Arabidopsis thaliana: one gene and its partner. The protein of the gene in region 2 interacts with the protein of the main gene of each other region in a biochemical or structural test. Each region holds a gene or a part of one and is shown on either strand. Other genes may lie near its edges.

Region 1 (5,513 bases), on a different chromosome or scaffold from region 2:
TTGAAAGTCTCTCCAACATAATACTTCTCAGCTCATCATCATCTGGACGTGGTGGTGGAGTTTTATTCTTTGTTTTCTACAAACACAAGGATTAAAAAATAACATAGAGAAGCGTGTATTACACGTTTCAAAATGGATTATTATTGGTTTACAAAAATTGTCTCAACAAACTCTAAGAAACACCGTAAGCACGTACCTCCATAGCCGTGACGCCGAGAAGAAGCGGATCGAGAGAAATCTGGCAGAAATAAGGCTTATTACTGGTTTTAGGTTTACCCCCTCCCCAAACTGGAAGCGTTCTAGGTTTTCTAATGGGCCTTTACTATTTGGGCTTATTATTTGTTACGCTTATTGAGTTATTGTCTTGTTATTGGGTCATTTAGCAAACAGTGTCTTATTATTGGCTCTGAGTGTATAAGGATACCCAAGGTCACACCATTTAAGTAGATTTTTTAAAAATATTTAACTTAATTAATTATGATCATATGTTAACTGTTACTTATACAATACCTTCTTTTTTGTCAGCAGTGACAAGATAAAAATGTCATTATTTCATTAGAAAAGCTTTTAGGACAAAATATTAACTGAAATTGCTGTTTCATTACACGTACACTATATGAGGAAAATGTAGTTTTTTTGTTGTTTCCTTGTAAGAGAAGCGTAATTGAAAAGTATTTCGAAGTAAGTAAGACAAATATAAAGTCTGCAAAACTAGCCAATCCCCATGGGAAGGATAAATCTCTCTCTTTCTCTCTTGCTCTCTCTCTATTTATCTCCCTTTTTGACCATTCACAATTCCACATCACCTCCTTTTCAAAACAGCTCTGGATCACTCTGCCTGAACCATAACCGGCTTTCCCCGTCCCATTGAGAATCCTCTGGTCCCATCAGGCATTCGTGGTCCAGGTGGTTGCTGTTTCCCCATGCCTGGTTGCTCCATGTTGTTCATTGGATTGTTCGAAGGTTGTGTTCCCACTTGATGATGATGATGATGATGATGATTTCCTCGCCCATTGTGGTTGTGGTTTTGGTTATGGCTGTGGTTGTTGTTCTGGTTTTGGTTCTGGTGTGGTTGCCCTCGTCCTCGTCCCTTTCCTCTACCTCTGTTACGCCCTTTTCTCTGCCCAGCCGCTTTCTCATTCCCTTGATCCTCTCCCTGTTATGTGGCAAAGTTTAGATTCATCCATGGATAACAAAGCAGAGACCCAATAACGTATTTAGTCTACTTACTATTGGCTGCTCTTGCATATGTGTATCCCATTCCCCAGAACAGTCATCAGATTGTTTCTCAATCGGCTGCTGCTCGGATGTTGTAGCATCATCTTCCTCATGTTCTACATCTGCATCATGTCCTTTTCTTCCTCGCCCTTGACCTTGTTTTGGTTCCTTCGTCTGTATGATAGAATAATAACATATAAGCCAAGTGGAACTGACATTAATTAACCCAGACAGATGACATTTTTAATTCACAGAATGTTCTCAACTACTAAGATATCTGGACTCGGCTTATTAGAGTGAGAAAGGACGGGCAAAGGCACAGTGTGTTTGTCAAACTTAAAACCACATACCTGATGCTTTAGCATCAACCGGACTTTAAGACCGCTCCTCCAATTTCCCGCTTCACTTAACTCGGTAACCTGTACAGTAACATGCCTTCAGTTAACCACATTAGCACAAGAGGCATCAAAATATATAGAGTCTGAAAATATGTGTAGGTGAGGCATTACTGCTCTCTCGGCTAGCTCAACAATCTCATACTCAACAAAAGCATGGACCTATAAGAACATGTAAAAGAGACATCAATTTTGCATCCAGTTAATCCAAAACTACGAGGCAAACACAAAGCCGCATGGGTCCATCTAGTTACCTTGTTACTGAAAAGCGTACCATCGCTTTTAGCTGCTGATCTCGCTGCGGGTGGAGCACCGCTTCCATTATTTTGAGGCTGGCAGGTACGGATGTTCTTCACACTGAAGACAAACACTCATAATTTTAGAAAACCTCAAGTGTATAAAAAGAAAGAAAAAGTAGATTCTAGGTTTTAGAACAAGATGAAACAGTTGTGTACCTTCCAACAGTTGAAAAAATCTTCATCAGGTTTTGGTAGCAATGATCCTCAGGGAGATTCTCAGCAACAATAATGCGAGACTGTATATAATAATATTTATTAGCATTATCCAGTATACACTATACAGAAATATAGGAATAGCAGGAATGAGTCAAGTACCTGAAGCTCTTCTATAGCCGACTCAGTAATCGGACTTATGCGTCTCACTTTCTTTCCATCTTCACTAACAAACTGTGAGATGACTCAGTCAAAAGTTAGAACATAAAATCTCACGTATAAAAGTTATTGACCAATACACACTAACATAAAGAACTCACAAGCTTAGCTGAGTTCTGTAGCACTGCGGCAAGCTGAGAATTATTGTTAATGACAGCTTTAATTTTCTTGAACGACGCAACAACATGAATAGGCACTGAAATCACCAATTAAGAATTGGAACAAAAAGATTATTACACTTTTATGCAAAACGAACTCATATGACTTAGCAAACAGACATCATCTTACCATATCCTTCAGGATCCTTGCAAATGAATCTCATGAGATGATCTGTAGTAGCCAAGTTCAAGTCACTGAAATAGTATTCAACCTGAAACCAAACTGGATTAGATTTAAGATCACATGTGGTCTTAAAAGAGTGTCAATGTCTGAATCTAATCACCTGATTCACAATCTTCTGGATAGAATCTTCAGGCAAACCAGTTTTTGAATCAATAGAAACAGAAGCTCCAGTTTCAGTCACTTGATCGTTCTTAGATTCTCTCTTACTATGATCTCTCCGATCATTCTTCTTTGAAACCAAATCCGGTTCCTGCTCACCACCGACACCACCACGCTGCTGATACTCTCCGTGATTCCTCACCGGGACATATTGCTGATTCTGATGACGATTGTGATGATGATGCTGATGAAAGCGATGATGAGGGTGGTGATTTTGAACAGGAACCAAGTGTGGCTGGATTGGAACAGGACCAAGAACTGGAGTATTGAAAGGAGGCTGGTGGTGATACATATGAAGCATACCGTGCGGCGGAGGAGGCGGGATAATCATCCTCGGAGGTTGAGGCAGCGGAGGAGTAGTTCGACCAGGAACGAACTCAGGAGCTCCGGCGTTGAGTCGACTTAAGGAGAGAGACCTCAAGAGTGATGGATCTGAGGAAGAAGAAGCTGAAGTAGTAGAGGAAGTAGAGTGGGAGTGAGATAGATCATCGGATTGAGTAGGAGGAGGAGTAGAGGAATCTAGGGTTTGTTGATCAGCCATGGATGATGACGATTGAAGGATGATAGATGAAGAACTTTCCCAAGTAAAGTTAGGGCTTTTACTGAAGTGGGAATCTTCTTCTTACAGATTGAGAGATAGATAGAGAGAGCAGATCTCTCCGGAGAAGGGGAGAGACCAAAAGAGGCAAAAGTCGCTTCTTTTCGTTTGTTTTTGGAGAGAGCTTCTCGAGTCTCAAAGGTCGTCTCTTGTCGTATATTTATAGAATGTGACTTTTGTTCTTATCGACAAAAGAAAAAAAACTTCACTTGTTTGGTCTTAAAATTACAAAATTCCATAAAAGATGTTTCTCAATTATTATTAGTCTCAGAGTATGAAGCATAAAGCAGCTTCAGGTCATTCCTAAAATAAACAGACAGAAGAGTTTCGCTTCCCACAATGTTGGATTCAATGCTTCTCTTGGACATGTTGGTCGAATCTGTTTCTGATGGCTTCCCAGAATGCAGGAACTGCGATGTTATCCGGAACTTCTTTAAAGGATGGTAAGTAGTTCAAGTCTACTATCACGTGATCTCCTGTTCCTTCTTGAATCTGTGGAGATTAATAAAGAGACAATGTGTAAGTAAATGAGTTATATATAAAGGGTCTTGTGTGATGAGGATGATACTTACAACTACGTCAAAGCCGAAGATTGTGAGATCAAGCTTCTTTCTTAGCCAGGTAGCTGCTTCTGTAACTAGCTCTAGATCAATCTCGCTTACCGGGTTCTGGTTTGCGGAATCAACAGGTAACGATTTTAAGCTGTGGAGGTAATGGAACTACCAAAGTTACAATCTTTTTAGTAACTGAAGGCTATGTGTTCATGGAACTGTTATGAAATCTTGCCTGTCAAAGAGAATTGGTTTGAGACCATTTTCCTCCGCTGATTTCCTCAGACTAGAAGAACTAGGGATCGATTTCTTGACCGCGTGAAAGATCGTTTCCCCCAAGACGTAAAACTTAAAAATCCTAGATGAATGGTCCACATACTCCTGCAAAACATCGGTTGAGAAGTTTTTCTATGCTTGACATCTTGATTTAGGAGTGTGCCCCTAGATTTGGGTATCCATATTACATTATGACTTACTTGGATAATGGCAGGAACAGGAGTGTTCAGATTCTTAAAATCCTCGACTCGGAAGACAATGGCCTGTGAGAAACACATGAAAACGAGGAATTTTTTTGTTCTGCTGTGAAAAGAGCAACAGATATTGCGAGATATCAAATCTAGATGGAAAGTATGAGATATTCACCATGCTGTGAGCATCAGCAACACCACAGGCAACCTGTGGTTTCACAATACATGGAAGAGAGAGTCCAGCTCTTGACAAGTTCTGAGCCAGATCTGGTTCATCATAGCTGTCAATCTGCAGATAAGGAACTCTGATATTAATTTGCTAAAGTAAAAAAGAAAAGCATCAATGCGAAACTGGAGAAGTTAAGAGGCCAGACTAAAGGTCTCAAGAGATAACTATGTAAGATTATAAGCATAAAGAAGATTGACGAGTTGATCAAAATGAGAGGACTTTTACGACCTTGAGAAAGCAGGCACCTCTTATCTTTCGTCCTGCTGCACCAAGGCCCTCTAATCCAAGAAGAATATGTTGCATCTTGAGTCGGTCTACGACTGGATATATATTTCGAATAGGGTCGACTATGGCACAAGCATTTTGATCTTCCATATACCTGCAAATACCTTATATCATTATGCAAACCTGAATGGAGAATTTTTAACAAGGTTTCTCATATTTGTGTATGATGGTATCTATACGCCACTTGCAGATATAACTGAGTGCTAGATTGAAAACAAAGAATTGAGAAGCTTACTTTTTCAGTTTCTCCATGCCGGTAGAGAATGTAACTGCAACAGATGATTTTGAGTCGGAGCAGTTCAGTTCAATGGACAAGATTTCATCAGTTGCTTTGTGGAAAATGATATCAGCGTGTTTGAGTTGAGATGCAAGAGGGAACTCAAACATGAGGGGCAGAAATATCAACCCACATGAAGTAGGATACATGGGTAAAGCACCCCTCTAAGAAAATCAGAAAATTTAACATCGGTGAACATTACATATATATCCATATTACTTTCATGAATCAGTAATGACCTAGAGGGTAAAGCATATATACGACCAGCACACAGAGAGCCAAAAACTAAGCAATGATCACCATATATATAATACTTCAGAG
Region 2 (6,474 bases):
GTAATGCTGGATCATATGCTTCCAATAGTGGATGATAGCTGGAGAGCAAAGTTTGAGCGGGTAAGAGAAGATGGCTTCTCGAGGCTTCAAGGGTTATGGGTACTTAGAGAGATTGTGTTCCCGATCGTCATGAAACTCCTAACGGCTTTATGCGTGCCTTATGTGTTGGCAAGAGGAGTGTTCCCAATGCTCGGATATCCGCTTGTTGTGAACTCAGCGGTCTACAGATTCGCGTGGATAGGTTGTCTTTCAGTGAGCCTCTTCTGCTTCTGTGCAAAAAGATGCCATGTCTGGTTTAGAAACCTTCACAACTCTATCCGTGATGACCGTTATCTCATTGGTCGGAGACTGCATAACTTTGGGGAAGCTGCTTTAGCTAATCAAAACCAAAACCAAAGTAGTGAGGATGCAGGAGATGGTGTCTTGATAGGACGAGAGGGAGATGTTGATAATGGACTTAGGCTCAGACGTGCAATCCAACAAGAAGCTTAGAAAGAAACTGTGCACTGAGGCGTTTAACATTTTGTGTACTTAAGCCGTTAAGAGATGGCTTTGAAAGATTTATTATTAGTCGATGTGTAAATTATTATATCCGTTGATGATTCTCTTTTTTTTGTTTTTGTGTACGAAACTAAAAGATCTTTAGAATAATGCTTCGTTTGTCCATATGCCTTGTGTGTTTCTATGATAATGCTTCTAGAATACCTTCGCTTACTGCAAATTCTTGTCTTTTGTCTCTTATGTTAGTGCATGTAAGCCTTAAGGAATTGGCGTTGAAGATCTATTTGGCCGATGTGTGATTGTAGACATACTCGTTGATACTGTTTTTGGTTTTTTATTTTCCAACAGAATAAAAATAAGAGGAATGTTATAACCCCATTAGATAGATGTCCATATCAGGTTCATCTCAGACCCATATGCTTCAAGGGTTATGGGTACTTAGAGAGATTGTGTTCCCGATTGTGATGAAACTCCTAACGGCTTTATGTGTGCCTTATGTGTTGGCGAGAGGAGTGTTCCCAATGCTCGGATATCCGCTAGTAGTGAACTCAGCGGTCTACAGATTCGCATGGATAGGTTGTCTCTCAGTGAGCCTCTTCTGCTTCTGGTTTAGAAACCTTCACAACTCTATCCGTGATGACCGTTATCTCATTGGTCGGAGACTCCATAACTTTGGGGAAGCTGCTTTGGCAAAACCAAAGTAGTGAGGATGCGGGAGATGGTATCTTGATAGGACTTTAGGGAGATGTTGATAATGGACTTAAGGCTCAGACGTGCAATCCAACAAGAAGCTTAGAAAGAAACTGTGCACTGAGTCGTATTAACTTAGGCTTGGAAATATTTACTAGTCAATGTGTATCCCGTTGATCCTCTTTTGTTTGTGTATAATATCCAAAGGATCTTAAGAAATGAGTAATGACGCTTCGTATATATATATGCCTTGTGTGTTTCTACTTTCTATTGTAATGCTTTTTGAAATGATTGCGTATTGCAAAATCTCATCTCTCATCTTATGTTCTTTCGTGTCACAATTCTACTGGAAGGCCAATCGTGTATTAAGTTGAATTGTTTTGATAAGTCAAATCTTAACATATTGGTTATTTAATTAAGATACTTTTTGCATACCATATAAAATCGTGCGGTAAATATTAATATTAACAACTTTTACTTTAGGAAAATCAAAATTCATCAAGATCCAGTGAGAATATTGCTAATCAGAGTTAAGAAATGTTAAGATAAATCAAAGAAAATATCATCACTGTACAAAATTTTAACAAACTTGGTTACTAATTAGATTCGAAAGTGTCAAACACGCGCGTATCTGTTTGACTTTTCCGAAAGTGACGAGAAGGAAGACGACCTTATCAATTCACCAGCAACTCTAAAATCAATCCTACGATTTACTTCAGACTCGATCCAACGGCTGAGATCAATCTCACACTCCTAGGGTTCTTCTAGGGGAATTAAAGGTTTCTTTTTTTTGTTGGGTTAATAATATAAAAGCAAAGAAAAGGAGAAACCGTAATGCTTCTTTTTCATCTATCGTAATTGTGCTTGTTTCGCCTAGAATCTCTCGGCCCCCAAATATCTCACTCGCCGTCGCAGGCTTCGCCGCCGGCAATTTCTTACCCTATTTCATCTTCCCTCTCCTCTGATATACCCATAAAAACACAAAAAAAACGAAAAGATAAAAACTTTGGCTTTAGTTTTGTTGATTTTGTCATTCGATTCGATTTCTTTTTCTTCTTTCAAATTCTAGGGTTTTCGATTTGGTTTCAGTCTAATAACGAGAGGGGAGGGAAGAGTAACTAAAACCCCAAAAAAAGTCAAAAAAGTTTCGAAAATCCAAAAAAAGATAATGGCGCAGGTTCAACTTCAGGGTCAGACTCCGAATGGTTCGACCGCGGCGGTCACTTCTGCTCCGGCGACGTCAGGTGGAGCAACGGCGACCCAGTTTGGTAACACGTCGCTTTATGTGGGGGATCTCGATTTCAATGTGACGGACTCGCAGCTTTTCGATGCGTTTGGCCAAATGGGTACTGTGGTCACCGTTCGTGTCTGTAGGGATTTGGTCACTCGCCGATCTCTTGGCTATGGATACGTTAACTTCACCAATCCCCAAGACGGTTAGTCTCCTTAATTTTATTTGGACTTCTTCTTACAATTTCCAATTTTTAGGGTTTGCTCGATAGTACCAGTACTGGATTTGAATGAGGTGTGTTTTAAATGTTGATACTTTATGGTGTTTGTATGTATGCAATGTGGTTGGTGCTGTTGGAAAGCTTATCCCCTGCTTAATCAATCTTTTTAATGCTACTTCTGTCTTCTAATGGTACTTTATCTCGTGTCTTTGTTGCAGCTGCAAGAGCGATCCAAGAACTGAATTACATACCTCTTTATGGAAAACCTATTAGGGTTATGTATTCTCATCGTGATCCTAGTGTTCGCCGAAGTGGCGCTGGCAACATTTTTATTAAGGTACGCTTGTCTCTATCCTTCTGACATTTGAGTTGCTGTAAGACGAGATGATTGTTGCGAAAAAATTTGTATCTTGTATTATTCATTGAAAAGTCTGGCAAAAGTAGTTGATTTCTTTAGTTATGTAAGTTTTTTTATTGGGTGTTCTTTCTCTCTTTCTGATGCTAAACCTGGCTATAATATGCAGAATTTGGACGAGTCCATCGACCACAAAGCACTGCATGATACTTTTTCATCGTTTGGAAACATTGTGTCGTGCAAGGTAGCTGTCGATTCTTCAGGCCAGTCAAAAGGCTATGGGTTTGTGCAATACGCCAATGAAGAATCTGCCCAGAAAGCTATAGAGAAACTGAACGGCATGTTGCTCAATGACAAGCAAGTGTATGTGGGTCCTTTCCTGAGGAGACAAGAAAGAGACTCCACTGCTAACAAAACGAAATTCACCAATGTGTATGTGAAGAATCTCGCGGAAAGTACTACCGATGATGACTTGAAGAATGCTTTTGGCGAGTATGGAAAGATAACAAGTGCTGTCGTGATGAAAGATGGAGAAGGGAAGTCCAAGGGCTTTGGGTTTGTCAACTTTGAAAATGCTGATGATGCTGCTAGGGCTGTGGAGTCTCTCAATGGGCACAAATTTGATGATAAGGAGTGGTATGTTGGTAGAGCCCAGAAGAAGTCAGAGAGGGAAACAGAATTAAGGGTCCGTTATGAACAGAATTTGAAGGAAGCTGCAGACAAGTTTCAAAGTTCAAACTTGTATGTTAAGAATTTGGATCCTAGCATTTCAGATGAGAAACTTAAAGAGATCTTTTCTCCTTTTGGTACCGTTACATCTAGCAAGGTTCAATGTCCCTCTCTCTCTCTCTTTATTTGTAGTGAGTTGACTCTCCTAGTTCATTATTTAAGAAGTTCTTTTATTAAATATTACAGGTGATGCGGGATCCTAATGGAACAAGCAAAGGCTCAGGTTTTGTTGCTTTCGCAACTCCCGAAGAAGCAACTGAAGCTGTAAGTCAGTTGTATCGTCTTGTTGATTGTATTTATGAGGACTTTGATTGTTAGTAACAGTGGAATACTGTACAGATGTCACAGTTGAGCGGTAAAATGATCGAAAGCAAGCCACTCTATGTGGCTATTGCACAGCGGAAGGAAGACAGAAGGGTCAGACTACAGGTTTGCTTCTCTTGGAATCACCTCGTCTTGTGATACACTTACTACTCCTACTTTGCCTGTTGGAGTTTCAACTCTAAACAATTGGACCCATCATGTACAAGTCTTAGAATGTCCCACTGCGTATAATTATCAATACTGATGCTGATTCTTCTTTATAATCAAGTGCAACAATATATAAAGCATAAACAACATATGTCCTAGTATTTTTGTATCACAGAAAAATCTCTTTTTTCTCCTGCTGCTGAGTATTTGCATTGATGTGAATAGGCTCAGTTTTCCCAAGTGAGGCCAGTTGCAATGCAGCCGTCTGTTGGTCCCCGCATGCCAGTGTATCCCCCGGGTGGTCCTGGTATTGGACAACAAATGTTCTATGGTCAGGCCCCTCCTGCCATGATTCCTCCCCAGGTAATCTTCATGTTACTCTACTTTAAGTAGCCGTGTACGATTTTACACAAAGATATGCACATGTTTATTTTCTACCTTGGGTATAATGAATTACAAGCTGACAGATGCTTTTAAGTCACATGAAAAGTTTTTAAATTCTTTAGCTCTATAGTTGCTATACTCATACTTGAGCCTTTCCAAATCTATTTTGAAACTGCTGGGATAATATTAACCTGTACTTATGCAATGCCACAGCCTGGGTATGGATACCAACAGCAGCTTGTTCCTGGAATGAGACCTGGTGGGGGTCCTGTACCCAGTTTCTTCATGCCTATGGTTCAGCCACAGCAGCAGCGTCCTGGAGGAGGAAGACGTCCTGGGGGAATCCAACACTCCCAGCAGCAAAATCCCATGATGCAGCAACAGGTTCTTCTCTTTTCCTTATTTAATTGCAATAAAGGCTGCTTTGCTTGCTTGGCTCTCTTTTAATAGTTGATCGTATGGTTTTTCTGTTTGGATGGTGGTTAGATGCATCCAAGGGGTCGGATGTTCCGGTATCCCCAAGGGCGTGGTGGTAGTGGTGATGTGCCTCCATATGATATGGGCAACAACATGCCATTGACTATTGGAGCTTTGGCTTCAAATCTGTCTAATGCTACTCCAGAGCAACAGAGGACGGTGAGAGAATCTCTTAAAAACCAAATAGAGAGACTGGTTTTGCTTGGATTATAATAATGTGACCCTTTGGGTGTGTTTGTACAGATGCTGGGTGAGGTGCTGTACCCGTTGGTGGAGCAGGTTGAGGCAGAGTCTGCAGCCAAAGTGACTGGGATGCTTTTGGAGATGGACCAGACTGAAGTGCTCCATCTGTTGGAGTCACCAGAAGCTCTCAAGGCCAAAGTTGCAGAGGCTATGGATGTTCTCAGGAGTGTCGCTGCTGGTGGTGCAACCGAGCAGCTCGCTTCCTTGAACCTCTCTTAAATTGCTTTTTATCATTTGATCTTTGGCTTTTGTCTCTCCCATACAATTGGAGTTGTTTCTTTGCTATTCGTTTTCTCCCTGGGAATTTGGATTCCTCCACATAACTGCGTTTGTGTTATTTTAAACCTTCGTTTTTAAACCACAAAGGAAAAACCTATCTGCTTTGTTCTTTTGATTTAGTTGCGTGTTCTAGCTTGTTCGATCTAGTGTTCACGGAAGATGAATTTGATTACCAATAAGGCCAATGCTGGTGATCCCCCTCTTTGGCCTTTTGACTGTTGGTGGTTGTTGCTTCTAGTCATTTTTTTTACCAGTTTTTCAAGCTCTATTTTATGGTAAAAAGGTGTCCTGGTAAAAATGGATGAATGGGTCTCATTCTCAGCAGACAATGTTTGAATGAGAAAGAAATACATTTTAAACTTTTTATACACTTTGCTTCTAGATTGATTGGGACTAGTCGAATAGAAATCTTAGTAGAGGTCTAAGGAAACATGATACACATCTTGTTTGGTTGAAATCTTACCATTGTTTTTGGTTTCAGTTATTGATCTGGTTTTTGGACTACTTTTTCTGCAACTATTTGAGAATGAGAAATTACTTACCAAAAAAAAGAAAGTCTTCATCTACGCCAAGGATTTAGAATATTCGTACATGAATTTTGATTTCCAGTACATTGCGTCATGAACTATATAGTCTACTTGTTTTTTTTTGTATCTATTTGACATGCAGCAAAGCCAGCAACACATCTTTTATTGAGTCTGATGATATTTGTGAACTAATTCGAAAATATTTAAAAGATTCGAGTGTATGAAAGGTTTAACTATTATCAAAATCTCTAGATATTTCAACTGATGGCAACACTCAACAATCTCACAATCACGACATAAAAATCCAATAACACTTGAAACCAAAAGAGGGTTCAAATTAGGGTTTCTTGTTAAATCGAAATTGGAC

What was found. The genes of interacting proteins can lie anywhere in the genome.
Region 1: the proteins of PAB2 (region 2) and LARP6b interact in a test that uses a peptide from one of them, tested with the Arabidopsis thaliana proteins (one study listed by BioGRID).

The regions. Positions count from the first base shown.
Region 1 is NC_003071.7:18,204,706-18,210,218, forward strand, and holds LARP6b (RNA-binding protein), read right to left. Parts: upstream 3,514-5,513; 5' UTR 3,327-3,513; coding exon 2,727-3,326; intron 2,655-2,726; coding exon 2,573-2,654; intron 2,481-2,572; coding exon 2,386-2,480; intron 2,300-2,385; coding exon 2,228-2,299; intron 2,149-2,227; coding exon 2,069-2,148; intron 1,971-2,068; coding exon 1,868-1,970; intron 1,776-1,867; coding exon 1,728-1,775; intron 1,638-1,727; coding exon 1,569-1,637; intron 1,393-1,568; coding exon 1,231-1,392; intron 1,157-1,230; coding exon 830-1,156; 3' UTR 530-829; downstream 1-529. Other genes in the region: AT2G43960 (SWAP (Suppressor-of-White-APricot)/surp domain-containing protein), read right to left, coding at 1-76, 197-202; ITPK4 (inositol 1,3,4-trisphosphate 5/6-kinase 4), read right to left, coding at 3,732-3,875, 3,956-4,085, 4,170-4,315, 4,411-4,473, 4,577-4,690, 4,859-5,009, 5,151-5,356. UniProt on the Arabidopsis thaliana protein: Transcriptional regulator.
Region 2 is NC_003075.7:16,334,373-16,340,846, forward strand, and holds PAB2 (poly(A) binding protein 2), read left to right. Parts: upstream 1-1,918; 5' UTR 1,919-2,359; coding exon 2,360-2,627; intron 2,628-2,860; coding exon 2,861-2,979; intron 2,980-3,166; coding exon 3,167-3,823; intron 3,824-3,912; coding exon 3,913-3,990; intron 3,991-4,065; coding exon 4,066-4,155; intron 4,156-4,422; coding exon 4,423-4,560; intron 4,561-4,794; coding exon 4,795-4,965; intron 4,966-5,067; coding exon 5,068-5,217; intron 5,218-5,301; coding exon 5,302-5,520; 3' UTR 5,521-5,942; downstream 5,943-6,474. Other genes in the region: CER9 (RING/U-box superfamily protein), read left to right, coding at 1-492. UniProt on the Arabidopsis thaliana protein: Binds the poly(A) tail of mRNA. Appears to be an important mediator of the multiple roles of the poly(A) tail in mRNA biogenesis, stability and translation. In the cytoplasm, affects both translation and mRNA decay.